Linked DNA regions of Callithrix jacchus. The protein of the gene in region 2 purifies or fractionates together with the protein of the main gene of each other region. This does not show direct contact. Links are inferred from orthologs where the notes say so. Each region holds a gene or a part of one and is shown on either strand. Other genes may lie near its edges.

Region 1 (3,500 bases), on a different chromosome or scaffold from region 2:
AAAAAGTATTCTACCCCAAAATCCACCCCTGGAACCTTGGAGAATTGGTGTAAAAGAGACAAATGACTGAGTCAGTTGGAGAACCAGTGGCTTAAGGGAATACTAGCAGGAAACACAGTGATTTTGGAGTCTCTTTGTGTCTAACCTTGAAAAGTAAAATCTACCAAGTTATGATCTGCTTTGTATGCTAGAATATTCCAAATTTACTTGTGGAAACATCCAAATTCTTTTCTAAGAGACTAGCATTAACAAGTGAAGTCAAAGAAGGGCTGTCCGCTGTTGGCAAAATCCAGGACACCCTTCATTCTCTGGGCGATTTAGATTCAGGTCCATTGCCACAGCCTGTTGGCAAACTGGCTGGATCTAACTGGTTTGGATTATCAGGTAGCAATGTCAAGGTACTGGAAAGAAGTTAAAGCAAAGTTGATTCTTCTTTTGTAAAAAGGTTAAAAACTCTCAGTCAACATCTTGTTTTGATATTTGGGTTTTTACCATAGGAGTATCCAACCCTTACGACCTTCTTTGAAGGAGAAATAATCAGCAAAAAACACCCTTTCTTAACTCGCAAGTGGGATGCAGATGAAGATGTTGATCGGAAACACTGGGTGAGTAAATCTGATCTGCGCTGGGTCTTCCAGGGACTGCTAGAGAACTGAAGAAATTCTGGGAGCCAGAGACCTTGTCTTTTATTGTGGATTATCGGGCTTTGCAGCCAAGTGAAAGGCTGTGCTGCACAAAAACCTCAGTTGTTCTATCTTCCTTATGAGGAGAGTTTAAATAGGATCTGACCTGCTGCTTAAATAGCAAATGGTTGTCTGATGATAGCAGCCCCAGAGTTCCAGCCAGAACTTTGCTTGGCTATCAGAATCTGAGCAGTGTCCCCCTATCCTTCCCATCTGTTTGCCCTTCTTCTGTCCACTGTTCCTTTCAAATCACTTCTGCTTGGGGAAAGCCCTGTGAAACATCTGACAGTGACCTCCAGCTTTGGGGCTGGCATGAGGTGAGATGGAGATGATGGTCTGGAAATCTGCCCTCCTGCTGGCTTAACAGGGCAGAGCCGCATCGTTTCTTTTTATCCTGGCTCCTGACAAATGAGTATAGTCTTGTCTTAAGTACACCACTATAAATCCTGGCTGCCCCTCACTCCTTTAACTGTCAGGTATAGAGCATTCTCACTCAGCAGTAGTGAATGCTTCAAGACAATTCAGAGTTAGTGTCCCAGGGTCTTTTCATTGGTTGTCATTTAAGTACCGCATCTTCAAAAATCAAGTTTCTCAATCCGTCTAATTGTCTTTTGCTTAGTTGACCATGGTGATGATGAATTTTTGTTTAACACTGGAAGAAGTTCAGTGTGTTTACCCTCCATAAACCAACCAGAGATGCTGTGTCAGTAATGAAGATTATAGGACTCGTTCTTCCCATTGCCTCTCACACCTGGCTGTCTAGACTCTCCTCTGGTTCTGGCACAGCAGTCTGTGGAAGGAACTCTTGTAGACCCTTGTCATGAGTTTACCTCACTAGAGATCAGTTGCTTTGTTTATTAATGTTTTTTATTTTTTTATTTTATTTAAAAAAATTTTTTTAGAGTTTGGGTCCTGCTCTGTTACCCATGCTGGAGTGCAATGGTGGATTACAGCTCACTGCAGCCTCAACCTCCTGGGCTCAAGTAATCTTCCCACCTCAGCCCCTGAGTAGCTAGAACTACAGGCATGTGCCACCACACGCAGCTCATTTTCTTTTAGTTTTGCAGAGACAAGGTCTCACTATGTTACCCAGGCTGGTCTTGAACTCCTGGCCTCAAGTAATCCTCCTGCCTTGGCTTCCCAGAGTGCTGGGATTATAGGTGTGAGCCACTGCACCCAACCTGTTTTTTGGTTTTTCTTTTTTGGGGGGTTTTTGTTTTGTTTTGAGACAGAGTCTCACTGTGTCACTCAGGCTGGCGAACAGTGATACAATCTCAGCTCCCTGCACCCTCCACCTCCCAGATTCAAGTGATTCTCATCTCTCAGTCTCTTAAATAGCTGGGATTACAGGTATGCACCACTGCACCTGGCTAATTTTTGTATTTTTAGTAGAGAGAGCATTTCGCCATGTTGGCCAGGCTGGTCTCAAACTCCTGGCCTCAAGTAATCCACCCACCTTGGCCTCCCAAAGTGCTGGGATTATAGGCATGAGCCACCAGGCTCAGCCCCAAGCTGTTTTTTATTTGAGTTAGAAGAGGAGATCTATCAAATCCTGAGTTTAAGTTAAATTTAAATTTAAACTTGAGCTTTTTAAAGCATTTTTTTGAAAGCTATACATTTTGACTGTTATAGCAAATGGACACTAAAAGCTAGACAGTCATTTGTGTCTCTCTGGGACACAAGAGAATGCACAAGACCTGAGTATCCAGAAGGTTGGGAGAGTCCAAGTGGTGTATCAAGGTGCTGGGTACCAGCAGGTGGAGTTGGAAGGGCTCCCTGGTACCATCTGTGCCCACCTCTGCCCAGGGCTAGGCTCTTCCTGCATGGCTTGCTGCCTCACGAGATGGCTTCTTCCTCTCCTAGACAGCCCCAGAGTAAAAGCTTCTTCCTTGTGGTAAACCACAGCCTCTCTCCCATTCAACTCTGTTGTCCATTTCATATTGGTCCTGCAAAAAGCAAAGTCTTTGAGGCCCAGTGACACTCAGTTTTAGGCTAGGTTGACTACAAATTAAATAATGGGAAAGCACGTCTTATTTTCCCATTGACTTCCATTAGAACATTGGAAGGTATCTGGGTCTGCAGACTCTGCTAGAGTGGATTGAAACATTTTGGGTGAGAGAGGAACTAAGGCAGCCACCCTTGGTACTGGCATGTGAAGTGTGGCTGAACAAGGGAGCTGAGTTTGTGGAGTGCTTCCTCCTCCAACAGTTTGTGGCTGCTTTTGTACTAGTCAGCATTTCCCCTAACTTTCCCCACTCGTGGAGGACTCCCAGGTTCCTGTGTGGGACTTCTGGAGCTCTGTACTGCACCTGGGTTAGTCTGGGATTTACAATGTTTAATACACTTCACCTAGGCTGTCATTTTTGCATTGTAAATTAGAATCAGAGATATTATACTGTGCCCTCAGATTTTCCTGAGTGGTATTTAAGTGGCAATTATGGTGATGCTATAAAGTCAATATTCCATATATTCAATCTACATAGGATAAAAACGTCTATGTGATGCTGGGCACTTTGGCTCACGCCTGTAATCTTAGCACTTTGGGAGGCCGAGGCAGGTGGATCACCTGAAGTCAGGAATTTGAGACTAGCCTGGTCAACATGGTGAAAACCCATCTCTACCAAAAATATAAAAATTAGCCAGGCATGGTGGCACATGCCTATAATCCAAGCTACTCGGGTGGCTGAGGCAGGAGAGTCACTTGAACCCGGGAGGCAGAGGTTGCAGTGAGCCAAGATCACGCCACTGCACTCAAGCCTGGGCAACAAGAGTGAAACTCTGTCTTTAAAAAAAAAAAAAAAAAAGCTATGTGACAAA
Region 2 (4,036 bases):
AACTACCTTTTGTCACTTAACCCTATTATTAAAGAATTAAAGGAAATCAAAGAGATACCAATATAAGACTAGCAATTTGGAAGACAAAAGGGAAAAAATTAGGAGTCTGAAAAAGGAACACACAAACTCACCAAGTCAGACTGTTTTTAACAGCATAGCATACTGTGTGGCCAATACCCTTCTGACGATAAATTCTGAGAAAAGTTCCCTAGTACCCAGTGAAGAGGTAAAAAACAAATTCTTGCCTTAGCAATTCCTCACAGTCATTTTCTCCATCTGAGAGTGGTCCTAAATTTTCTAAAACAAAGCCCACAATAATATGCCCCTTCAACTTACATCCTCTCTCATGGAAGAAAGGTACATCCTGTTGCATCGTTTTCCTCTCAAACCCTGCCTATGGCCTGGTCCGTAAAAAGGAAATGTTCCTTCCACCTCTCCAACAGTCCCTTCATTCTCTTCCTCCACTGGTTCCTTGGCGGGGTCGGGAGCAGAGGTAACACTTCCCATCACTGTATTGTATTTCCCACACTTAGGTTCACATCACGTTTTTCTTCTTAACCCCCAGTAATCTGGCTTGTCTTAGCAATTCTATGAAACTGCTGACTTCCAATAACCAAATAAATGCCGACCAACCTCTTTTTCTTAACCCCGCCCTTTTTGGTTTCTGCTGGCTCTATCTAGCCTAGGCCCTCTACGCGCCAAGGGAAATTCAAGATTGTGGTTAGACCCTAGTCTTTCTTCTTTGCATCCTAAGTGATCCCCTCCACTGTCCTCTTAGAAATGACATCAGAAAACAGTCTTAGACCTATGCATCTCCAGCCACCAGTAAATACGAGAGCCCTCGGACTCTATCATCATTAAGCCCTTCCAACTTTACCTCACACGTACAAAACCAATTTCAAAGTCTTCCCAAGATTCCTGTCCCATTCCACCTTCACTTCCCTGTACCAACTATATTATCCTCACCACGTCAGTCAAATTTCCCTTCACAGGCAGCCACCAAAATCTGCTCGTTTTTCCATATTAGTACTGCAACTCCTACGAGAATTAATGCTTTTTCCATATTAATATCCCATCCACTATGACTGCAGGTTCCTTCCTTCCGAAAGTACAAAAATGTCTGCAGTGTCTAAAATGAGAAGTTGCTTTAAGACTCTTTTCCCATGGACCACCACCCTTCCTCAACTGAAATGCAGTCTGGGTGAAAGTGTGAAAAAAATGGAGGAGGAGAGAGAAGCTCAGCTAACACCACTGCCCTCATCTCACCTGCCACAAATATCTGCATCTCCCCCAGCTACCCAACCTTTCTTCACATAAATTTCTGTTCAGCCCATAACTGAGAAGCCCCCTCAGCCTCTTTTATAAACCCATTTAAAAAGTCCTGTACTTCTTGATCAAAAGGAATCATCGCTGTAATTTTTCATGTGTAAGGAAACTAAACCTTTAATGTTATTTGAAAAAAACCAACAAAAAAAACAAAAACCTTCCCAACCAGCTTTCATACGTTAAATTAACTCTGGCAAAGTACCTGTCCCCTGGGCTTGGGGTAATAATAATCTAGGAGAAACAGAAAAATCTATTTTTTTAAAAAAGGAAGAACTTGACCAGACAAAGCAAGTAACTAGCAACATGTACCAAAATGTGCTTGGGCAAACGTCGCCCGTTCCTCCTTGGTGTTATCAGAAGCTACAATAGGGGAGCGGAACGGTTCCTAGGAACCACGTCAGAGCCGCTGCGGAGTTCACAAGAGCTGCGTCCACAGGGCAGTCAAATCATAAGTTGCAGGAGCGGCTGTTGTTAACCCACAGCTAAGAATAACGCTCGACTTTCCAAAATAAAAAGACGGAAAAACGACGAAGTCTCCTGGGCAAGGATTCGGGGCGGCACAGAGGGGGAAGAGGGATTCCTGCACTGCCCTCATCACTCGGAGCCTGGGATCCCAGGCGATTCGCTCACTGCCCGCCCGCAGGACTGAGCCGCGGGCACCACGTGAGATCCTCGGGGCCGGCGGGGGGCCAGGGGCGCCCACTCAAGGAAGGCGGCACCTTGCAGGTGCGGCAAACGGCCCCCTCACCCACGTTTATCCGGACTGGAGCCCGCGGCTCCCGGCCGAGTTTCCGGGTGGTTCGCACTCCTGAATTAGCAACGAGATCGCGCGGCAGGTTCGAGGTAAATCGAGTGAAAAGAGGAGGAAAAGTCTCAGGGGTCTGGGGACCTCCGCGCTTCCAAGGGAGGCGGGGGCCGGGGCTCGAGCGGTGGGCCCTGCCCCGCGCGCCTACACAGGCGCCCTACCCTGGCTCTGCAGGATCTCGTGCTTGAGGCCGCCGGTGTAGTCGATGAGCTCCTCCAGGCCGCGCTCGCACAGCTGCCCGTAGCCCGAGAACTTGTGCAGCACCTTCTCCAGCTCACGCTCCACCGTCACGCATTGATCCATGCCGGAGGCGGCGCTCGGCTCCCAGGCGCCCGGGTGTCCGCAGCCGTTCGGCCCGGGCCCTGCCGAGGCCGCGTCCTGCTCCTCGTCCCCCAGGCGGGCGGCGCGGGAGGCTGAGGCGGCCGAGGCGGCGTGCGCACTAGCCGCGGCGCCGGGGGAGCCCCGCGCAGCAGTAGCCCGCCTGCCCCATGGCGCTCTCGCCCTCCGGCGTGTCGCCGCCGCCCCCGTTCGCTCCCTCCACCCGGCCCCGCGTCCCCGGGTCCCGCTCGTGGCGTTCGGGTGCCCGCGGCTGCGCGGCCGATTGTTTTTGTTTTCACGGGAACCGACGGATGACCTGGTTCTCCCGGGCGGCACCAAGCGCCGCCGACTGGGGGGAGAGGGACGGCCACCCCGGCGAGGAAAGGAGGCGGCGCGGGCCGTACCAAGCGCACCTTCGAAGGGGGGGGGCTCGGCGATCGCGGGCGGAGGAGGGCGACAGGCGCCCACACGCGCCGCAGCTCTAAAGGTGTGGGCCGTACCACGCGGAAGGCGGGCGAGGGAGAGGTCGAGGGTGGAGCGAGGCCCCAATTGGCCGGAGGAGCTAAATAGGGAACTTTGGAGACAGCCCCAGAGCTCGGCGAGCGCTACAACTACGCGCTCAGTAAACAAGGGGGCGGAAACCGGCCCTCACCACTCCGCCCAGAAGCGGGGAAACCCAACCAATGGGCGCGGAGAATGGTAAGAAGCCAATCCATGGCCGAGGTGTAAGGCTTCAGCCAATCCGGGTTGACAGGCCAAACCAACGAACTCGCTGTTGGAGGGGGTGACTTGGAGAGCGTACCGAGAAACGAGTCTTTTCTGGAAAGCCGTGGGGGAAAACCAGACAAAAATACAGAGGGCTGTTTTCCATAGGACGTCGCCCTGAACCCAATTTATTTCGTCTCCTCATCGCTCTTAAGGGAAAGGGATGCAGTCATTCTGAACTTTTGGGCGACGGATCCGCCTCCCAGGATGAAAAACCAAGCAAGGCCGCCCGGGGGCGGGTGCTGAGGCGGGTCGGGGGCGCTAATGGGAATTAAAGGCGGAGGTGATTGGGTCCTGGTGAGGGGGATGCTTGTTGGTTGCGAATGACCCGCGCCGTCTGTCAGCGTTGCCCGGAGCTTACGACACTCTGGAGGTCAGGTTCCCCACCCGCCGCGAGCCGTAGTGGCCCTTTGGCCCCGGGGCCGGGAACCTCTCCTGACGGTCGCCCCGGAGCCCTGAGCCGGGCAGCTTAGCCCAGTGGAAAGAACCCGCGCTGGAGAGCTGGGCAGCTTGGCCCTTGCCCCCTGGGAAGCCTGTATTGAATAGGATCGGCTTTACCCCCTTGGGTAAATCCTTCTCCTAGCTTGCCATGGCGTCTCCAGCCTTGGCCTAGACCTCCGTGGTCAGCATCGCCTGCACTAACCTTTGCATTTCTTCAGGAGCCCAGCTAGTTCCTGCCTCAGGACTTATGCACTTGCCCTTTCCTTGGCCCAGAAAACTCTTCCTCCTACCTTTTTCATCCTAAAGTTCTCAGCTGACTTGCCCCCTTACACGGTCCTCCCCTGCCTGGCTACACTAATGTACTTCCTCCCCACCGTTAAT
Region 3 (4,300 bases), on a different chromosome or scaffold from region 2:
GAATTCCAGCAAGACTTCTGGTTTGAGTCAAGCCTTTCAACTGAGGTGCTTGGCATACTTAATGGAAAAAGCGAGTACATTCAGATTTAGTTTTGCTAGATATTAAGCTAGAACACTGGCTGACAGTAAAACCAATACAGAAACGAAAAGTCGTGTTTCCAGCAAAGAACCATACACGCAAGCGGGTTTTGCCTATTAACATAGCAGGAAAGCATGGAAATTGGAGTTCAGTCGCTTTAGAAAAGATAAAGGGCAGGGGAGGGAGGAGAGGGGAGGGAAGAGAAGCAGGAATGCAGAGGAGCCCTGTAAGAACAAGAAGGAAATACATTCTGTCCATGTGAGGTTCTGCTTCAGGCATTGCACCACGTTCCCTCCACCAGCACCTGGAGGGATGTGTTCAGGATCTCACTATTGTTGATTTCCCTGTGTGCTAGACATACATTGCTAGCTAGAAGTTTTTCTAGGCACCTTCCCCTTTCCTAGTGCTAATGCCTAATTTCCTAAAGTAATCTGAATCCGTATAAGCCCAGGTAGCTCAGGAGGTTTTATTTATTTATTTATTTAGAGGTGGAGTCTTGCTCTATCGCCCAGGCAGATCTTCACAGCTCACTGCAACTTCTGCCTCTGGGGTGGATGCTATTTTCCTGCCTCATCCTCCCAAGTAGGTGGGATTACAGGTGCGTGCCACCACACCTGGCTCATTTTTGTATTTTTAGTAGAGGTAGGGTTTCGCCATGTTGGCCAGGCTGATCTCCAACTCCTGACCTCGAGTGATCTGCCACCTTGGCCCTCAAGGTGCTGGAATTATAGGCATGAGCCACTGCACCCAGCCTCAGGAAGTCTGAATACTTCATCTAGTCTGCTCACAGATGCTTGATCCAGAAGTGGGAAGGGTACACTTGTATTTTGGACTCAAATGCCTTTCAAATGGAATACATTTCACTAAATAAAGTGAACGCAGTCCTGAACCCTTCTCACTCCAGATATGCATGCAATCCATATCATCAAAAGAAGAGTTCAATTCCCAAGGCCAAAAACAGGCTCTGCTGTACTGCAAAGAATTCTACAGCAAAATCAAACACTCAAATGAAGTGCCAGCATGATGCAGCCCGTTATCACCAGGAAGAATGTGAGAAAACTTTTAGCAGATTCAAAAATGTCACCCCACCATGTTATTTAAAAAAAATTTATCAGGATACAAAGACGCTTCACTGTTTTTAACCTATACAAGGTTAGTGTTTACCTTGAAACATAATTGCATATGGCCCTTTTCCTCTTGGATGTGTGACTTGACAAGGGTGTCTGTGCTCCATGGCCCTTCTCCAAGCTCTAGGCCGTTATACTGACATGAAGCTGGTCCGAATGTGGTGGGATGCCACTCACCTTGGCCTTTGATAATGAGGGCGACTGCTAAGTGTGCAGTCTCTTCTGAGGACTTTCCTCTGAAAGGGGGACAATATATTGATAAAATACTTTATTAATCAGTTAAGATAATTTTTGATCTACTTGAAAAAGATTGAACTATAATATTGCACTCTAAAACTGCTATTGCTCATGCAAAAATATTTGACTTTCATATTACATAGAGAGCTCAGAATCTCTATGTAATTCTGAGCTCTCTATGTACATTCTCTAAAAGGACAATGACTTAATTTTCCAAAAGTTAGAAATGACATCCAAAGGACAAAAGGTAACTATTTTTGTTTAATCAATGTGCTTGGAACATTAACAATGAGTAATGTATTCACCGAGCTGATCAGGAAGTCTTCCTGTGACTCCCCCACTGTACCAGACTATGTACATGTGTATGCAGAGAAAGGCAGAAAAAGTTTTGTCAGTGTCATTGTCTCTAAAATGCTTATTCTTGCCCATGTGCCAGTAAATTAAATGAGACTGTGCTTCTCCAGAATAAGCCCAGTTGTATCTAGAATTTACTTGTTTTCGGTATGAAGATAAGGGAGGTATAAGAATGTTTTTAACAGAATTACTCAATCTAGATTAGGATGCTGTGTGGCAGGACCATCTCGAATTTTGAAAGCCTGAGCTGGATGGGGGCAAGGGGATACTCATTAATGAAATAAATTTCATTTATGAAATACGTATCCATCATCTAGGTATCTTACACATGGAGAGCTGAGTGCCTCCCTTGTATAAAAAGTAACTGAAGACCAGAAGGAAGTGGACTTTGTCCTGCAAACTGAAGCAGCGTTCCATGCAAAGAATCAGCAGGTTTTCTAGGTAGGTAATGCCGCCAGTGGAATATTATTACAGTTCTCAAATCACGAGGGAAACAGATGGAGAAGAGGGAGGGAGGAGGGAAAATCTTGCATTCTAAGAGGCAAGAGTCCCCATTACAATTGCAATGCTTCATTAGACAGCTGATTTTTCTAGCTGGAAGGCACATTAAAAATAACCCTGACAATAACTTAACAAGACAATGGAAATCAAAAGAAGAGAAGGTAGAGGCACAGCTGTCCTATTAACACAACAACCCACTACGGCTGCAACAATCCTCGGGTACAGGGACCAGCTCGTGTTAAAGACTGGGTGTTTAGGTAAAGAGGATCTGGTGCTCTTGGTTCAGCTTTAGCGATTTTCCAGTACTGATTAAAGCCATTGTGCCCTGACCATGAAGACCACAAATGCAGAGAATTACACCAATGTCTGCTGTTGGAGTGCACCACAGGCGAGACCAGGCTCCCTGGTCCAGCTGAGTAGGGTCTTCCATGTGCTGTCCGCCGCTAAGTCAGAACGTCGACTAAGCAGAGAGGAGGAAAGGAATAACTATGGAATAGCTGACTTCTTTATCCTGGTTATGGGTCCATAATTCGCATAAAAATAAATAATATGCAGTAAGCTAAAATCCGGTTTCAAATTTGTGACAAGAAAACAAAAGGACAACAATCTGGGATTCTTAAGGCAAAACAGAAATCTCTTTAAATAGACACTTTATTAGATCCACAGACGATAAAATCCCAGAGCCACTGTTAGGCACGTAAAGATAGACCCTGTAAGAAAAAAAACAATTCAAGAATACTATTAGTTCTACTAAGAGCTACTTGAGGGAATATCTTTTTATTAAGAAAACACACACGACCAGGTGCAATGGCTTACACCTGTAATCCCAGCACTTTGGAAGGCTAAGGGAGGCAGATCACTTGAGGTCAGGAGTTCATGAGCAGCCTGGCAAACATGGTGAAACCCCGTCTCCACTAAAAATACAAAAATTAGGTGGGGGTGGTGGGGGCCACCTGTAATCCCAGCTACTGGGGAGGATGAGGCAGGAGTATCACTTGAAACCAGAAGGTAGAGGTTTCAGTGAGCCAAGATTGCATCACTGCACTGCAGCCTGGGCTACAAGAGCAAAACTCTGTCTCAAAAAACAAAAAAACAAGGCTGGGTGCAGTGGCTCACACCTATAATCCTAACACTCTGGGAGGCCAAAGAGGATCACCTGAGGTCAGGAGTTGGAGACCAGCCTGAACAACAGGGAGAAACCCCGTCTCTACTAAAAATACAAAATTAGCCAGGCATGGTGGTACATGTCTGTAATCCCAGCTACTTGGGAGGCTGAGGCAGAATCTCTTGAACCCAGGAGGCAGAGGTTGTGGTGAGCTGAGATCTCGCCATTGTACTCCAGCCTGGGCAGCAAGAGGGAAACTGCATCTCAAAAACTAACAAACAAACAAAAGATCCCAAATAACTACAGTTCGATGACAGTATCTTATCAGATTTCGGATTCTATCCATTACGAAAGTACACCATTACTTTACTACTAAGAAAGAAAAGATGCCAATTAAAGGATGACACTTCATCTCCTGGAAATTGTAAAATGCCTTCCAATTTGAGAGATATTAAAGTATTTCAAAAAGAGCTGGAATCAATGCAGTTTCTGTCAACTTATTTTATAAATTTATTTTCTTTTCAGGTTGATTTAAATAGATATAAAATAGCTTACCTGCTAAATATTTAATATTATCAAGCTTGTGTGACTCAAGCATGGTTTTGAGGCCAGCAACCTCAGTTTCTATCTTCCTATCTGTCTGGGTGAGGGCCCGATCTTGCTGGGCATGCTTTTAAAACAAAGAGAGTCACAGCGTTAGACCACGGCACGTCCCCTCTGCCCTCCATCCTATAGCTCCTTCCCAGCAGGGTGCAGTCACAGGGAAACCTGGCCAAGCCTGGGCTTTAGTCTCAGTTCTAAAATCCTCATGCTGCACTGCATTTGTCAGGACCCTTAACCTCTCTAGGCCTTAGTTTTCTTCTCCTTGAAAAAAATGAAAACAGAAAACAAAACACA
Region 4 (4,159 bases), on a different chromosome or scaffold from region 2:
CACAGGGTACGCCATCATGCCCACCCCAGCCAACTCCCCGTGTGACACGAAAGGCCCCAGCCTGCTGGGTCTGTCAGCAGCCCCGCCGGGAGCATCCTTCCACAGCCCACAGGTCTGCAAGCAGCTGCACCAAGGCTCTGGCCTGGCAGGGCCAGAGCGCCCCTGAACAGGCATACACGCGCGCGCACACTCTCCGCAGCCCCCTCCAAGCAGAGGCGACAGTCCCTCGCTTCCATCCACAGCCCCTCCTCCCCACGATCTGACACTCTGCTGGAGGGCCGCCCAGAGAAAACCGGGCTGGAGCATCTATTCACAGATTTCAAAAAAAAAGTTTGATGCAATAGCTGAATTAATTAGGCCTCCCAAGAATAGCTGAGCCAATGCAGCATTCTGTGTGTGCAATTTAATAAGCCTGCATATTTAAAAAAAAGTTACAAATACTTGGGAAGGTATGCAACGGAAAGTTCCTGAGGACCCCACTGGGTAATGTCGGTGCCTTATGGCCTGGGAGCTGCCCACGCCGGATCCTCCAGATCCTCCAACTGGCAAACAACAAAGCCGGGCTGACAGTCTCCCTCCCTGGCGTGTCCCTCTGCGCTTCAGAGGGAGAGAAGGAAACGGGTGAGTCCAAAACAAATCGCAGGCCGCCAGGAACTCCAGCACTCGGGCCCAGGAGCCTGCTGACCAGGCCCTCAGCTGGGTGCCAAGTGGCCCTCACCCTGCACGGGGGACTCTGGGATTTGCTCCCTGGCAGGCCCAGGGAGACGAACCAGCACAGTGCTGGGGCTGCTGAGTCTCGGCCCTCCGCCACTAACGCCGGACACCTGGCTTCATTTTGGGTCTGTGTCCCAAAACTTCAGGACACCAAACAGGGAGCAGAGCCAGTAACAAAACCAGGCCTCGCCTGGCCCGAGCTCTGTCTCCTGGGGCTCAAAGCTGGGAAGCTTCGGGGTAAGGGCAGCCACCTTCACCCCAACCCCAAGGAAGACCCGGGCCTGAGGCATCCAGCCGCAGTACGGCTGGATGGAACTTCCCTGACCTCGGGACAGGCCGCTTTCTCGGCAGCACAAGAGGCCTGTGCCTTCCTGGCCTATCTGGGCAATGGCTGTGGGCCTTTCCCACACACCAAGCCTGGCCCCGCACCCCACCGCCACCAGCCCCGCCCAGGCTCGTCCTGAGGAACCGGCAGGAGGGCTTCCTTCCAAACCCACTGGCCCTGCCCAAGGGAACGCTCTGAATTTCCCCTAAACGAACCGAAGCCTTGAGACAGGAGTGAGGCAGAACACAGGTCCCGGCCTTCGGAGCCCGGAGCGCAAGGCCCAGGAGGTGCCCCCCCACCCAACGCACCGGCCCCACCCCGCGCCCAGGCCTGGGGCCACTCACCCGGGGCACCCGCCGCTTGTACTTGCTGCCATAGTCGAACTTCTCCTTCACGTCGTCCAGGCAGCGGCCGAGGCGCGCCTGCTCCTCCTTGCCGGTGTAGTCCTGGCTCAGCAGGATGTAGGCCCGCCAGTTGGCCGAGTCGAAGCCCCAGTGGCAGGTCCGGTTCTCCAGGGCCTTGTGCGAGTGCACCACGAACTTGTGCGGCGGGTACATGAGGCGGCAGTCCAGGCACTGAATGCAGGCGGCGCTTGGGCTGCTGTAAAGCTCAGGCACCAGCAGCCCCTTGCACTTGCCGAAGCACTCGTGGTACACGCGGACGCTGCGCTCGCTGAGCTCCAGGCCCAGCGCCAGGCTGGCGGCCAGCTCCTTCTTGCAGGGCGGCGGGTAGGCGCCGCCGTAGAGCAGCGCGTTACACAGGCGCTCGGCGTCCGTCTTGGTGATGAGCCCGCACGAGGGCGCCGAGAAGGGCAGGATGCCCATGACTTTGAGGATCTCCAGCTGGTCGGCCGTGCAGCGCGAGCAGTAGATGTGGAGCTCGTCGCACACCGAGTTGATCTGCTGCAGCGAGAAGTCGCGCAGCACCGAGTTGAGGATTTGTGGCAGGCACAGGCGCTTCTCCCCTCCCACCACGAAGCACGAGATGGTCTCGCCCTCTAGCACCGTCTCGCAGCGCTCCGTGGAGCGGTCGGACGGCATGAAGAAGGGCCCGGGCAGCACGGGCGGCGGCGGCTGGATGGCGGGCAGGTGCAGCACGGGCGGCGGCTCCGCGGCTGCGGGCACCGGCGCGGGCACCGCGGCCGCGCCCGCCTCCTTGGCGCTCTCCTTCTTGTAGGCCTCCTGCGCCCAGCGCGCCGAGAAGGCGGCCGGGCCGCCCAACGAGCTCATGGAGCTCAGGTGGAACTGTTCCAGCGTCTTCTGCAGCCCCGGGTGCGGCTGGAAGCCGCCGCGGCCGCCCGCCGCCGCTTCCATGGTGCGCTCCGGCTCCCCGGGCCGCTCCCGCTCCCGCGCGCCCGGGCCCCCCCGGCCCCCGCCGCCGCCCCGCGCGCCCCGGCGGCGTCCGCGGCCCCGACCCCGGCCGCCCCCTGCCGCCGGCTCACGACCGATCACGGCCGCGGCCTCGCCCGGGGGCGCGAAGGGGAAGGCGGGCGGGGCGAAGGGGTCCCGCCGCTGGAGTCCGCCGCCGCCCGGGCCCGGCGCCACATCCACGCGCCCCGCGCCGCGCCCGCCGCCGCCCGGGCCCCCCGCGCGTCCCCCGCGCGCCCCCCGGGCTCTAGGCGCGGGGCATGCCCCGGCGCGCGCCGCCAACGCCAACGCCAACGCTCGCGGGCCCGGGGCTCGCGGGGGGCGCGCGGGCAGGTGGCGGCGCCGAGAGGCGCGAATCGCCGCGGCGGCCGAGGCCGAGGGGCCCGGGAGGAGCGGGGGCGCGGGCGCGGGGCCCGCCGGGCCGTCCTCGCGCGGCGCGCCGCCGCCGCCCCGCTCCTCCCACCGCGCGGCGCCCGCCCGGCTCGTCCCGGCGGCGCTGGCCGGCCGCGTCGCGCCCGCCGCCGGCCCCCGGCCCGCCCGCCCGCCGGCTCCGCGGCCCGCCCGCCCGGCTTCTGGGGCGGCGGAGGCGCCTCTCGCCCGCGGCCCTCAGAGCGCGGCGGCGGCGGCGCGGGGCTTGGGGCGCTCGGCGAACATCCTCCCGGCGGCTCGCTTCGGCTCGGACTGAGCGCCCGGCGCTGAGCTCACGCCGCCGCCGCGCCGCCCCGCCCCGCGCCGCCCGCTCCGCCCCGCGCCGGCCCCGCCCCCCGCGCTGTTTGTTGCTGTGCGTCCGCCTCAGCCAGAGCGCCGGCCAAGAATGTGACCCGCTCCCCAGCCGGGCTCTTCCAGGAACGCGCGCTCCCCGCCCGGACTCGGCCGCGCTCGGCTCCGCTCGCCCGGGATTCGGCTGCGCTAGGACCCGCCCTGCTACGACTCGGCTCCGCTCGCCCGGGACTCGGCTCTGCTCGGCCGTGCTCGACTCGACTCGGCCCCGCTCGGCCTTGCCCGCCGACGGCCGCTAGCGCGGGCGGAGGCGGAGGCGGTGGTGGCGGCGCCCGGGGCCCCCTTCCGGCCGAGGCCGCTTCCTGCGCTGCTGGGAAGGCGCCCGTCTCGCCGCCGCCGGGGCCCAGAAACCCACAGGCTCCCCGCTCGACCGCAAACCAGCTGGGACGGCTGGCGGGCCACGCCACGCACCCGGGGTTCTCCCAGGGTGGGACACCACACAGCGGGGAGCCCGGGCGCCTCTGGGGTCCCACACACCACAGGGATGGTGGCCACGCGGGGGGACTTCGCGCCACGTGACCCTGGCGGCGCAGCCCCGCGGCCCCCGCTGCACCGTGGCCCGTGGCTCGGTGGCCGGGTGTCAGCGGCTCCCGCCCGTGCCAGCCCCGCCCCACCAGACCGGGGCTTCGGGCCTGGGAGGGGCGGCGCCCGGTGCCCCCGCCGCGGCCGCTCTGCCGGCCCCTGGCCGGGTGGCTTCTCAGGATCTCGGCCCCGCGGGTCCCGACGGGCAGACTGGCGAGACCCCTGCCCTCCGCCCCGGGGCTGCGGGGCGCTTCCGTCCGTCCGGTCGGGCCGGCTCTCCACGCCTGGCCACGCAGTGGGAGAGCCACAAGCCCTGGCAGGCCGAAGTGGGAAAGCCTGGGTCCCAAAGCTGGACGGTCGGCCTGGTGGTCCCCAGAGGTGGCAGCGTCCAGCGAGGCCTGCGGGCTCCGGGACGCAATGGGTGGGAGGGGGTTGGGGGCTGTCCTCGCCC
Region 5 (3,500 bases), on a different chromosome or scaffold from region 2:
CTCTAGATTCAGAGCAGTAGCATTTCTAGATTTCTAGTTTGAATATAAGATCTGGCAGCACATGGCATTTGATTGAGAGTCTTCATATTTTGGAGACCCAACAGGAAGTGGTAGATGATGTGGACTCTGATGATGCTGTTTCTACAGAGACCACTTGTGGACAACTTTCAGATGTACACTTTTGATAAACCCTGAGAATATGATAGTTCTTTTTTTCAAAACCTCTTCTAGATTTTTTTCCAGATGTTTCTTTCTTTAATTAGCAGATGAGATAAACAAATGACCATTGAATTAATATAAACTCAACCAATCATGTTTTTATTATGTGGACTGCACAGCCTTTTTTGGTCACATTGAGCCTTGATTAAATTTTTTTAGTCTTTTTGTTTATTAAGTTCCTTCTTTTTAGATTGTTGTACTTGCTTCAGCAAGAAACCTCAACCACAGAGCTGAAAACTGAATGTGCAGTGGTGTTGGGAAGTCTTGCTATGGGTACTGAAAACAATGTCAAGTCTCTACTGGACTGCCATATTATCCCTGCCTTATTGCAAGGTATGTAGGGAAGCCATTTTTTGCTCAAGTAAAGATAAGAATCAGTTTACAGTACTTTAAATACTGGTTGAGAGGATTAGTCCTAAATTTAGTTTCTGTTAATAGGACTACTGTCCCCAGACCTGAAGTTTATTGAAGCTTGTCTCCGATGCCTGCGCACCATTTTCACCAGTCCTGTCACTCCAGAGGAGCTACTGTATACAGTGAGTTTTAGATGTATTTGAGATATTAGTTGCATTTCACTAACAGCCTACTCCTAATTTGCTTGGCATCTTTAGACTCATCATAACTATGTTGTATAAAAAAGCCTCAGCTGGGCATGGTGGCTCACACCTGTAATCTCGGTGCTTTGGGAGGCTGAGGTGGGAGCATTGCTCGAGGCCAGGAGTTCAAGACCAACCAGAGTGATGTAACAAGACTCCATCTCTAATGAAAAAAATAAAAATAAAAATAAATTAGCCTGGTGCAATGGTGCATGCCTATAGTCCTAGCTACTCATGAGACTGCAGTGGAAGGATTGCTTGAGTCTAGGAGTTTGAGGTTATAGTAAGCTATGAGGTGCCACTGCACCTCAGCCTGTGTGACAGAGCAAGATCCTGTAACTTAAAACAAAAAAATAATAAAAGTCTCTGCCAGGTGTGGTGGTTCACGCCTGTAATCCTAGGAGTTCGTGAGGTCAAGGCGGATATAGTACCTGAGGCCAGGAGTTAAGACCAGACTGGCCAACACGGTGAAACTCCGTCTCCATTAAAACTACAAAAATTAACTGTACATGGTGGCACATAGCTGCAACCCCAGCTTCTTGGGAGGCTGAGCCATGAAAATCACTTGAACCCAGGAGACAGACATTGCAGTGATTGGAGATCACCACCCCACTCCAGCCTGGGTGACAGTACAGACTCTGACTCTAATAAATAAAGTCTCAAAAACTGTTTGAGTTCTTGCCTCACTATACATGTGAATTTGTGTGTGTGTGTGTGTGTATGTAGGTATGTATGTATATGTGAAAGAATCCTGAGACAAGTTTCTTGACATAGTTCCACAGATGAAATGCCCTCTGGTTTCTGTGTTGTCATTTTTCATTCTTCAAAAAAATGGTGATTGTGATTATCTGAGCCAACATAACAAATTATGTTGTTAAATTGTGCACACAGGAGTCAGAGATCTTACCCAGAATTAGGCTTTTTAAGTATTTCAAGACTAGAAGTAATAAAGAGGCATAGGCAAAGCAAGCATAGAGAAGAGACATGTCACATGGCTCCCTAGCCTGTCCTTTCTACATCAGACACATACTCCGCTGGCCCTTAATGATACATAAGGTGGTCGGTAGATGAGATTTATGGGTTACCTCACATAGGGAGCACCTAAATTATGAAAATTCTTTTATTTTATTTATTTTTGATAGGGAGCTTTGCTCTGTCACCCATGATGGAGTGCAGTGGCTCAGTCTTGACTCACTGAAACCTCTGCCTACCAGGTTCAGGTGATTCTCCTGCCTCAGCCTCCTGGGTAGCTGGGATTACAGGTGCATGCCACCATGCCCGGCTAATTTTTTTTGTATTTTTAGTAGAGACGAGGTTTCACCATGTTGGCCAGCCTGGTCCTGAACCCCTGACCTCATGATCCGCCTGCCTTGGCCTCCCAAACTGCTAGGATTGCAGGTGTGAGCTGCTGCACGTGGCCTAACATCTTTATTTTATACCTCATAGTTTTATGTGAGATTCTTCAGGGAGTCATACCTCATATATCTATAGATTGTTTACTGCAGTGGTTCTCAGATTTGAGGTTGCACTAGAATTACGTGGAGGGCTTGTCAAACAGGGATTGCTAAACCCCACCTCCGGTTTCTGATCCAGTGAGTTTTGGGTGTGGCCTGAGAATTTGCATTTCTAACAAATTTCCAGGTTCTCTCTTTAAGAGTTACTACTTTACTGTAGACATCCTGCTTAAAGCTTTCCATAGAGGACTTAGTAAATATCAGTTTATTTTCCTGTAGTTCATATGGTAATGTTTGCAGAGATTAAGCCAGTCACCTGTCTTATTTACCCTGGAAGTTTCTCACCTACCCTCAATCCCATAATAAGGGGAGAAGTTGATCCTGGCCAACTACTTTAACTCCTCCCACCTCACTCTCTAAACTGATTTTTGTCCTACTAATGGATCATGGTGCACAATTTGGAAAATTCTGGTCTATGCCAACTGTTTTACATGAGAAAAATTGAGACCCAGGGAGGTTAAATTTAGATAGAATATCTAAATTATGAATCATCTCAATTTTGTGCCTCAGATATTTTATACCTCAGAGACAGTGGAGAATTTGTAAAGAGTTGGATTGGGGAATAACTAGCAGCAGTGTTTCAGTGTATTAATTGACTTCTATGAGTTGGGGTGTATAAAAGCCAGCTGTTTGAGCAACTCAGGCTGTAGAATAGAGATGGGGTAGGTAGTCCAGTAAGAAGATGGCAGGATTTCTAGTTTGAAATTGTGTTTATTAGGTGGGTGATTTTGGGTAAATTTTGTATTCAATAATTGTTCTTTGCCTTATTTAATCATCTGTAAACTGTAGATATATAGACACAATTAACAGAAAGGGGGCAGATATGAAAAAATGGGATGGGGGCTATTGTAACTGAGGGAAATTGAGGAATGCAAGAACATTAGAGGAAAAGAAGGAGGTGGAAATAGCTTTAGGAGCCTAATAGAGACTTTTTAATCTACTTCTCTACCTTTTCTATCTTAGCTGCTATGTACTTCACCATTCTTTGCTCAAAGTAGAGTCTGTAGGCCAATGGCATCAGCCTCATTTGGAAGCTGACTCTTAGGATCCTACCCCAGACCTACAGTATCAAAGTACATTAAGAACATCTCCTGGGAATTTGCATGCACATTCCTTCTTGGGAAGCATAGCTCTTGTGATGTCATTGACTGGGAAGCTTGAGCTAAGTCTT
Region 6 (3,500 bases), on a different chromosome or scaffold from region 2:
CCAGTTACTCAGGAGACTGAGGTAGGAGGACTGCTTGAGCCCAGGAGGCTGATGCAGTGATCCATGACTGTCACTGCACTCCAGCCTGGGCAATAGAGTGAAATCCTGACTCAGGAAAAAAAATAAAATAAATATAATTATTATTACACCATATTATTATTATAAACACAAAGGTAAATATAAAATATTATTTATCTATAAGTGGGTTACCTACACAAGTAAAAGAGAGGAAATTACCTGACCTTCCACTAAAGGAAGCCAGCCGAAAGGCTTGTGACAAATTTTTCTCTGAGATAACATAGCCATTATCAATATTCACTAAATGAAGTTATGTAAAACCATAGTACACAAATTATATCCAGGTCTTGGCAAATGCTACATATAAACACATACAAGCACATGGATACACACATGTAAACAAAAACACTCATGTGCTATGCCACACATGGTAGCACATGCCTGTGATGCCAGCTACTCAGGAAGCTGAGGTGGGAGGATCACTTGAGCCCAGGAGTCCAACCTGGGCAACGTAGTGCGACCCCGATCTCAATATTTTTTTAAAAACCCAAAAACAAAAACACATCCATATGCTGAGCCTAGGCCCTGAAAACTGAGAGCATCAGTTCCTCCCCTACACAGCCTTGGCAGCTTCACTCCTCTCCTTGCCCATCCCAGCAAGCCTGCTATGGGAGTGGCACAGTCCTGGCCATCCAAGGAAGTCCTTGTCATCTGTTCTGGAGGGCTGGGAACAAAAGGCAGCAATGCTGTTCTTCCTGGGGAAGGTCTGGTCACCTAGCCCCTGCCTCAGCCCACCCTTGGGGCCTGCCTCAAGAGACAAAGGCTGCAGAAAGAACCCAGTGTGCCCCCCAACCCCACCCAAGGGGACCCTAGCACCCTGGTGCCTTTGCAGGGCAATGACCAGAGGTAGCAGAAGCCCAGCCCTTCCCCATGCCCATCTGCCCATCCTTGGGAGCCAAGCTAACACCCACCTCCTAGCAGAGTGGGTACTGGTCACTGCCTCACTCAGGCTTGCAGATGACAAGTAGAAGAGAGACCCAAAGCTGGCCTCCCTTGGGAGTTTCAGCAACACTGGCTTGCAGGACAGTCTGGGAATTTATCAGCCAAGGAGCTAGCTCAGCTGGTCCTAGGAGGACTCCCTTCCCTCCACCACTGCTATAGACGAATGAGACTCAGTTGGATGCTGGGCCCTGTGAGGTGGCCTCAGGCCAGAGTCACGGCATGATGGATACTCCCTATGGTAGAAAAGGGTCCACAGAGGAAGAGACCACAGGGCATCCTCTGCAAAATCCTCTGCAAAATGACCTGGGGAAGGAAAACAGCCCTGCTGGTGATCTTATACACAGGAGCCTCCAATCTGGCTGAGGGGCAAAGGTTTAATTAGGAGCAGCCTGGAGAACTCATCGGAAGCTGTCCATCCAATAAGAGGGAAATGGGAGAGCTGCAAGTTGAATCGCCCTAGGAATACTTCCCAGACAGGATCCACCAACTGGAATTTCTAAGGACTGCTTGTAGCACTACAGGGGCCTAGAGTGGAGAGGGCTGGGGTGGGGTGGGAGTAGGTAAGGGCGGGAGCAGGGCACTCACTTCTGCAGCACTGCCTGCCACTCGCCAAGCCGGGCACTGATGGGGAAGCAGTGGACTGTGCCCTGGACCTTGGCACGCCACTCCCGCATGTAGTCCTCAATGTCAAACAGGAAGGGCTGCTGCCCAAAGTTGGCGTCCACAATCTCCCCAGGTGTCTGCAGGCCTACGGTGGGGTAGAGGTTGGCCTGAGGAGGAGAATGAAATGTCAGTCAGGCCCTGAGGGCAGCGGGGTGGCAAGGCCTCGCCTCACCTCACCTCACCTCCATGGCTGCTGCTGGCCCATGCTCGGGCTGGGAGAGTTGCAGCAAGGCTGGAGGAGGCAGGGCAGAGCCACCTTCCTGCCTACCTCCCTAGCAGACACACTATACCACAAAGCTTGAGGGGAGAAAGCAAAAGAAAAGCAAGCAAGGCACAACATGGAAAGTGTCCCGCCCTGCATCAGAGGCCATTGTGTCCTCAAGGCCCAAGAACCCCTTCTGGAACGCAGCCAAGGCATACAGAGATGGGCTGGGTGTCACAACCCTGCAGACGTGCCCATGAAGGTCTGCTGCAATGGTGGATCATGGCTCCTCTTGGAAAGATCCAGGGCCGAGGATATCTCTGCCACAAAAAATAGACACATGAGGCTGGGCACGGTGGCTCATGCCTGTAATCCCAGAATATTGGGAAGCCAAGTTAGGAGGACTGCTTGAGTCCAGGATTTCGAGACCAGCCTGGGCAACAAAGTGAGACCCTGTCTCTACAAAAAATAAAAAAATTAAAATAGCAAGGTGTGGTGGTGTACACTTCTGGTCCCAGCTACTCAGGAGGCTGAGGTGGGAAGATTGCTTGATCCCAGGAAATTGAGGCTGCAGTGAGTGAGCTGTGATTATGCTACTGCAACCCAGCCTGGGTGACAGTCCTTGTCTAAAAAAAAAAAAAAAAAAAGAGGGGGTGGGCAGAGATGGAATGACGCAGGAAGGAAGGGAGGAGGGGAGCATGGCAAAAGGGAACTGGTGGTCTAGACCCCTGGCACTGGCAAAGGGTGAAGAGAAGCTGCCTTTCCTGTTAGAGGCTTGCTAAGAGGAGGATCTGGCCAGTAGGGTGTGGGGCTCCCTGCTTTCCACCTAGCCCCTGCCATGACTGGCTTTTGCCCGGTCCCTCCCTCACTTTGTGGTTCCTGTGGCTCCTGGCTGCTACTGTCCAGAGCCTCGCCAACCTCCTCCCCACTGTCACTGCAGATGGCCTTCCCTGAGCCTCCCAGTCCACTCTACCTCCATGCTCAAGCCATGTTCCTTCTTGAGTACCATGCACTTTTTTTTTTTTTTTGAGATGGAATCTTGCTCTTGTTGTCCAGGTTGGAGTGCAATGGTGCAATCTCCACTTACTGTAACCTCCACCTCCTGGGTTCAAGCAATTCTCCTGCCTCAGCCTCCCAAGTTAGCTGGGATTAAAGGCATGCACCACCATGCCCGGCTAATTTTGTATTTTTAGTAGAGATGCGGTTTCTCCATGTTGGTCAGGCTGGTCTCAAACTCCCAACCTCAGATGATCCGCCTGCCTTGGCCTCCCAAAGTGCTGGGATTACAGGAGTGAACCACCACCTCCGGCCAACCATGCACTTTTGTACCTGCACAAGGTGTAGGAGCTTTTCCTGTATGCTGGCTTCAGCCTACCACCGGCTTTGCACTGGACCTCTCAGTTCCTTTCTTCCCCCTTCCATCCTCCACACCACAGGCAAAGCCCGCCTCGTCCAGCAAACTTGCCTTGACTGTCACTGCCCGCAATGTCATCCCCCATACTTTCTTGCACGTGGCTGCATACAGGCCATGCTCACAACTGGCCATTTCATGTCACGTCCCCATAACTAGACTTTTCCCTAGCCAGGGACAGCATTCTCCTCCTGAATCTGTTCT
Region 7 (2,843 bases), on a different chromosome or scaffold from region 2:
AACTGATACCCCATGCCTTCTGAGATGATACACTGAGGACACACAGTATCACGTGTATAGTATTCTTGCCAAAACTGCATAAACTGAATCTGATGATCAAGAAACAGGCAACCCAAATTTAACACATTCTATTCATAAATGTTCTGTAGTCTTCAAAAATATCAGTGTCATAAAAGACAGAGGCTGAGGAACCATTTCAGACTCAAGAGACTTGGAAAAATGCATTGTGTGATCTTAGATTGGATTTTAGATTAGTAGGAAACATGACTGTAAAAAAGTGACTGAAAAATGGTACTATTGGGACATTGGTGTTAAATTTCATGAATTTAATATATATTAGTTATGTAAGTGAATGTTCTTGTTCTTAGCTGAAATCAGTTTGAGCATGTAGGGGCCAAAGGTGACTACAACTTACTCCCAGATAGTTCCACAAAAAGATTTTCAGTGGGGTGTACACACGAGAGAGAGAGAGAGAGAGAGAGAGAGAGAGAGAGAGAGAGAGAGAGAACGAGAGAACGAGAACATATTTGGTGAAACTAATGGTGAACCTAAGTGAAGGCAGTATGGGGTGTTCATTGCACGATTCTTGAAACCTTTCTTTGGGTTTGAAATTTTTCAAAATAAAAAGTTGAAAAATGAAGCAATTTGGAAATTTTTTTTTAAAGCATAAAATAGAAAAGACTCTAATCTCACTGTCAGAGATAACCTTTGTTAATATTTTGGAGTATTTCTTTCCATTCACTTCCATGATAGCATAGTGGGCTTTGTTAAACTCAAGCTCATCTCAAATAAACATTTACCCTCAAACTTAAAACAATATATTTTTTAAAATAAAAAGGAATGTGCTGTTCTTGAGGTATTGTTTATGTTCCTTCCAGGAAACTGGTATCCTTGGCAATGTTATGGTCTATTCCTGTTCTTTTACAAGATTAAAACAGATTGGACCTAAAATTGTATTCTAAGTTGAATGGAAATAAGTCTGGTTTGAAGTCGCCTTCACTGAACACCATGGCATGTGTAACTCTTTATGGCTTTGTTTCTATTTCTCACAGCACTCAGCAGGGCTCTCATGCCTCCGCCATTTCAGGAATAGGGGAAATCATTTATTTTATCACTTAAATATCTCCGTTGTATTTAAGAAATCTGAAGCAGCTGAGATAAATATACCAACTGATGAAGACAGCATCTCACTGAATGTTCCTTTAGCTGGAGTAAACTTAATTGAATGTTTTTTAGAGGTTACAGGGGAAAATCCTTTAGATTAACAGTCCCTACCTTTTAAAAATGCCATACATATGTTTTCTAATATTTACTAGGATAAAAGTAGTTCATTGCCCTATCCTCACATAATGTGTGCCTAGTAAGAGGTATGGTGTTTATTATGTGCAGGTACCATTTTACATATTGTACATGTATCTCTTTCCCTCAGTCATCTCTGTTATCACTCAGTTCTCGGAGACTACTTCCAGCTGTCTCTGAGACATTAATGATTTTAGACTAATTTCTAGAGATCCCTTTCATTTTGATTTTATTATATTTTTATTACCAAAAAAAAATTTAGTGGTTCAGAAGCATTAACAAGTAGAAAAGACAAGTGGAATTTTCTCAGTGGACTTGCAGAGGAACAACCTTGTAAGGAAGAGAAGAGAAATCAATATCATTTAGTGACTGAAGTGCCAGTCCTTCTGCTAGTTGTTTTTCATGTAATTGCATTTAATCTGCACAATAACTATATGAAGTAAATACTATTATCACATATGTACAGCTGAGGAAACAAAGTCTGAAAGCCAGAAAGTCTGACGAATTTACCCTAAGATCATACCATAGCCAAGTAGTAGAACTGGGGTCAGATCAGTAGTTTCTGTCTGGTTTTGAAGCCTGATTTGCTTTATCCATTATAAAGTACATTACTGCTAGTCTCAACTAGTTTTTCTGTTACATGTTTTAAACACAATGGATGTTTCTTTGTATCTTCTTCACCAGGCTTTTCTGATGTGGATCACACCTATGCTCAAAGAACTCAGCTCTTTGACACCTTAGTAAATTTCTTTCCTGACAGCATGACTCCTCCTAAAGGCAACCTGGTAGACCTCATTACACTGTAACTGAAGAGTCACTGGACACAGAAATGGAAAAACAGGAGTCGAATTTCCGTCTTTTGGATTGCAGCTCCATTGACTGACAATAAAGCTGCAGTGATTGAGGACTGCACCAGAGTTCTGAAGGGATCTTAACCATCACAGGTTTTTACCCTTTTCCTTCATACCTGACCTCAACCCCACTCTCTTCATCCTGTTCCTAAATTAGGCTAATAAAGTGAAATTGGTATACTTTCCAGTTAAATATATATATTTTTTCTTATGTTATCTTTTAAGAATTAATGAGTATAAAAGGAAAATTAGGCAGTTTACCCTTTTCAGAATTTTCTTTCCTTTTTTTTTTAATTGGGGAAATAAGCACTATTAACAGATTCAGCACTACAAGTATTTTGAATGTTGTTGCTGTTGGTCATTTGGCCTGCCTTCTCATCCCTTCCCACTTCACTTCACCTCCCGTCACACAACTGCGTATAAGTGGTGTCACTTGTTTACCTCTTTACTTTATTCTTAACAAGTGTATAGTTCTCTAGGACAGGTGATGTATGTTAAGGTGATATCTGTGTCTGTGCTGACTTGTATTGTGTTATGTTAAACAGTAGGCAGAATTGAGGGCTCAAGTTTGCACTCTTGGCCATAGTACTAAAAATGAAACCTGAGATTGACCCAAGCACCTATCTGAGATTGGTATATAATATTTCTATAATGATATTTTATAGTAGATATTTCAATAGCATCTGACTTTGA

Evidence for each region.
Region 1: the proteins of RMND5A (region 2) and GID4 purify together in Homo sapiens (affinity purification with mass spectrometry; 4 studies listed by BioGRID and IntAct, counting the BioPlex papers as one, with this or other methods). This does not show direct contact. The link is inferred for Callithrix jacchus from reciprocal best matches to the Homo sapiens genes RMND5A and GID4.
Region 3: the proteins of RMND5A (region 2) and RANBP9 purify together in Homo sapiens (affinity purification with mass spectrometry; 9 studies listed by BioGRID and IntAct, counting the BioPlex papers as one, with this or other methods). This does not show direct contact. The link is inferred for Callithrix jacchus from reciprocal best matches to the Homo sapiens genes RMND5A and RANBP9.
Region 4: the proteins of RMND5A (region 2) and SKI purify together in Homo sapiens (affinity purification with mass spectrometry; 3 studies listed by BioGRID and IntAct, counting the BioPlex papers as one, with this or other methods). This does not show direct contact. The link is inferred for Callithrix jacchus from reciprocal best matches to the Homo sapiens genes RMND5A and SKI.
Region 5: the proteins of RMND5A (region 2) and ARMC8 purify together in Homo sapiens (affinity purification with mass spectrometry; 5 studies listed by BioGRID and IntAct, counting the BioPlex papers as one, with this or other methods). This does not show direct contact. The link is inferred for Callithrix jacchus from reciprocal best matches to the Homo sapiens genes RMND5A and ARMC8.
Region 6: the proteins of RMND5A (region 2) and RANBP10 purify together in Homo sapiens (affinity purification with mass spectrometry; 4 studies listed by BioGRID and IntAct, counting the BioPlex papers as one, with this or other methods). This does not show direct contact. The link is inferred for Callithrix jacchus from reciprocal best matches to the Homo sapiens genes RMND5A and RANBP10.
Region 7: the proteins of RMND5A (region 2) and MKLN1 purify together in Homo sapiens (affinity purification with mass spectrometry; 4 studies listed by BioGRID and IntAct, counting the BioPlex papers as one, with this or other methods). This does not show direct contact. The link is inferred for Callithrix jacchus from reciprocal best matches to the Homo sapiens genes RMND5A and MKLN1.

What each region holds. Positions count from the first base shown.
Region 1 is NC_133506.1:69,100,987-69,104,486, reverse strand, and holds the end of GID4 (glucose-induced degradation protein 4 homolog), read left to right. Parts: intron 1-497; coding exon 498-605; intron 606-2,738; coding exon 2,739-3,062; 3' UTR 3,063-3,133; downstream 3,134-3,500.
Region 2 is NC_133515.1:26,282,044-26,286,079, forward strand, and holds the start of RMND5A (E3 ubiquitin-protein transferase RMND5A), read right to left. Parts: upstream 2,801-4,036; 5' UTR 2,435-2,800; coding exon 2,293-2,434; intron 1-2,292.
Region 3 is NC_133505.1:16,876,230-16,880,529, reverse strand, and holds the start of RANBP9 (ran-binding protein 9), read right to left. Parts: upstream 2,801-4,300; 5' UTR 1,443-2,800; coding exon of another isoform or gene 1,411-1,442; 5' UTR 1-1,410. Other genes in the region: MCUR1 (mitochondrial calcium uniporter regulator 1), read right to left, coding at 2,953-3,008, 3,959-4,073. UniProt on the Homo sapiens protein: May act as scaffolding protein, and as adapter protein to couple membrane receptors to intracellular signaling pathways. Acts as a mediator of cell spreading and actin cytoskeleton rearrangement.
Region 4 is NC_133508.1:40,279,012-40,283,170, reverse strand, and holds the start of SKI (ski oncogene), read right to left. Parts: upstream 2,801-4,159; 5' UTR 2,353-2,800; coding exon 1,384-2,352; intron 1-1,383. UniProt on the Homo sapiens protein: May play a role in terminal differentiation of skeletal muscle cells but not in the determination of cells to the myogenic lineage. Functions as a repressor of TGF-beta signaling.
Region 5 is NC_133518.1:46,106,229-46,109,728, reverse strand, and holds part of ARMC8 (armadillo repeat-containing protein 8), read left to right. Parts: intron 1-409; coding exon 410-552; intron 553-657; coding exon 658-755; intron 756-3,500. UniProt on the Homo sapiens protein: Component of the CTLH E3 ubiquitin-protein ligase complex that selectively accepts ubiquitin from UBE2H and mediates ubiquitination and subsequent proteasomal degradation of the transcription factor HBP1.
Region 6 is NC_133521.1:25,248,456-25,251,955, forward strand, and holds part of RANBP10 (ran-binding protein 10), read right to left. Parts: intron 1,791-3,500; coding exon 1,606-1,790; intron 1-1,605. UniProt on the Homo sapiens protein: May act as an adapter protein to couple membrane receptors to intracellular signaling pathways.
Region 7 is NC_133512.1:115,724,455-115,727,297, reverse strand, and holds the end of MKLN1 (muskelin), read left to right. Parts: intron 1-1,983; coding exon 1,984-2,105; 3' UTR 2,106-2,343; downstream 2,344-2,843. UniProt on the Homo sapiens protein: Component of the CTLH E3 ubiquitin-protein ligase complex that selectively accepts ubiquitin from UBE2H and mediates ubiquitination and subsequent proteasomal degradation of the transcription factor HBP1.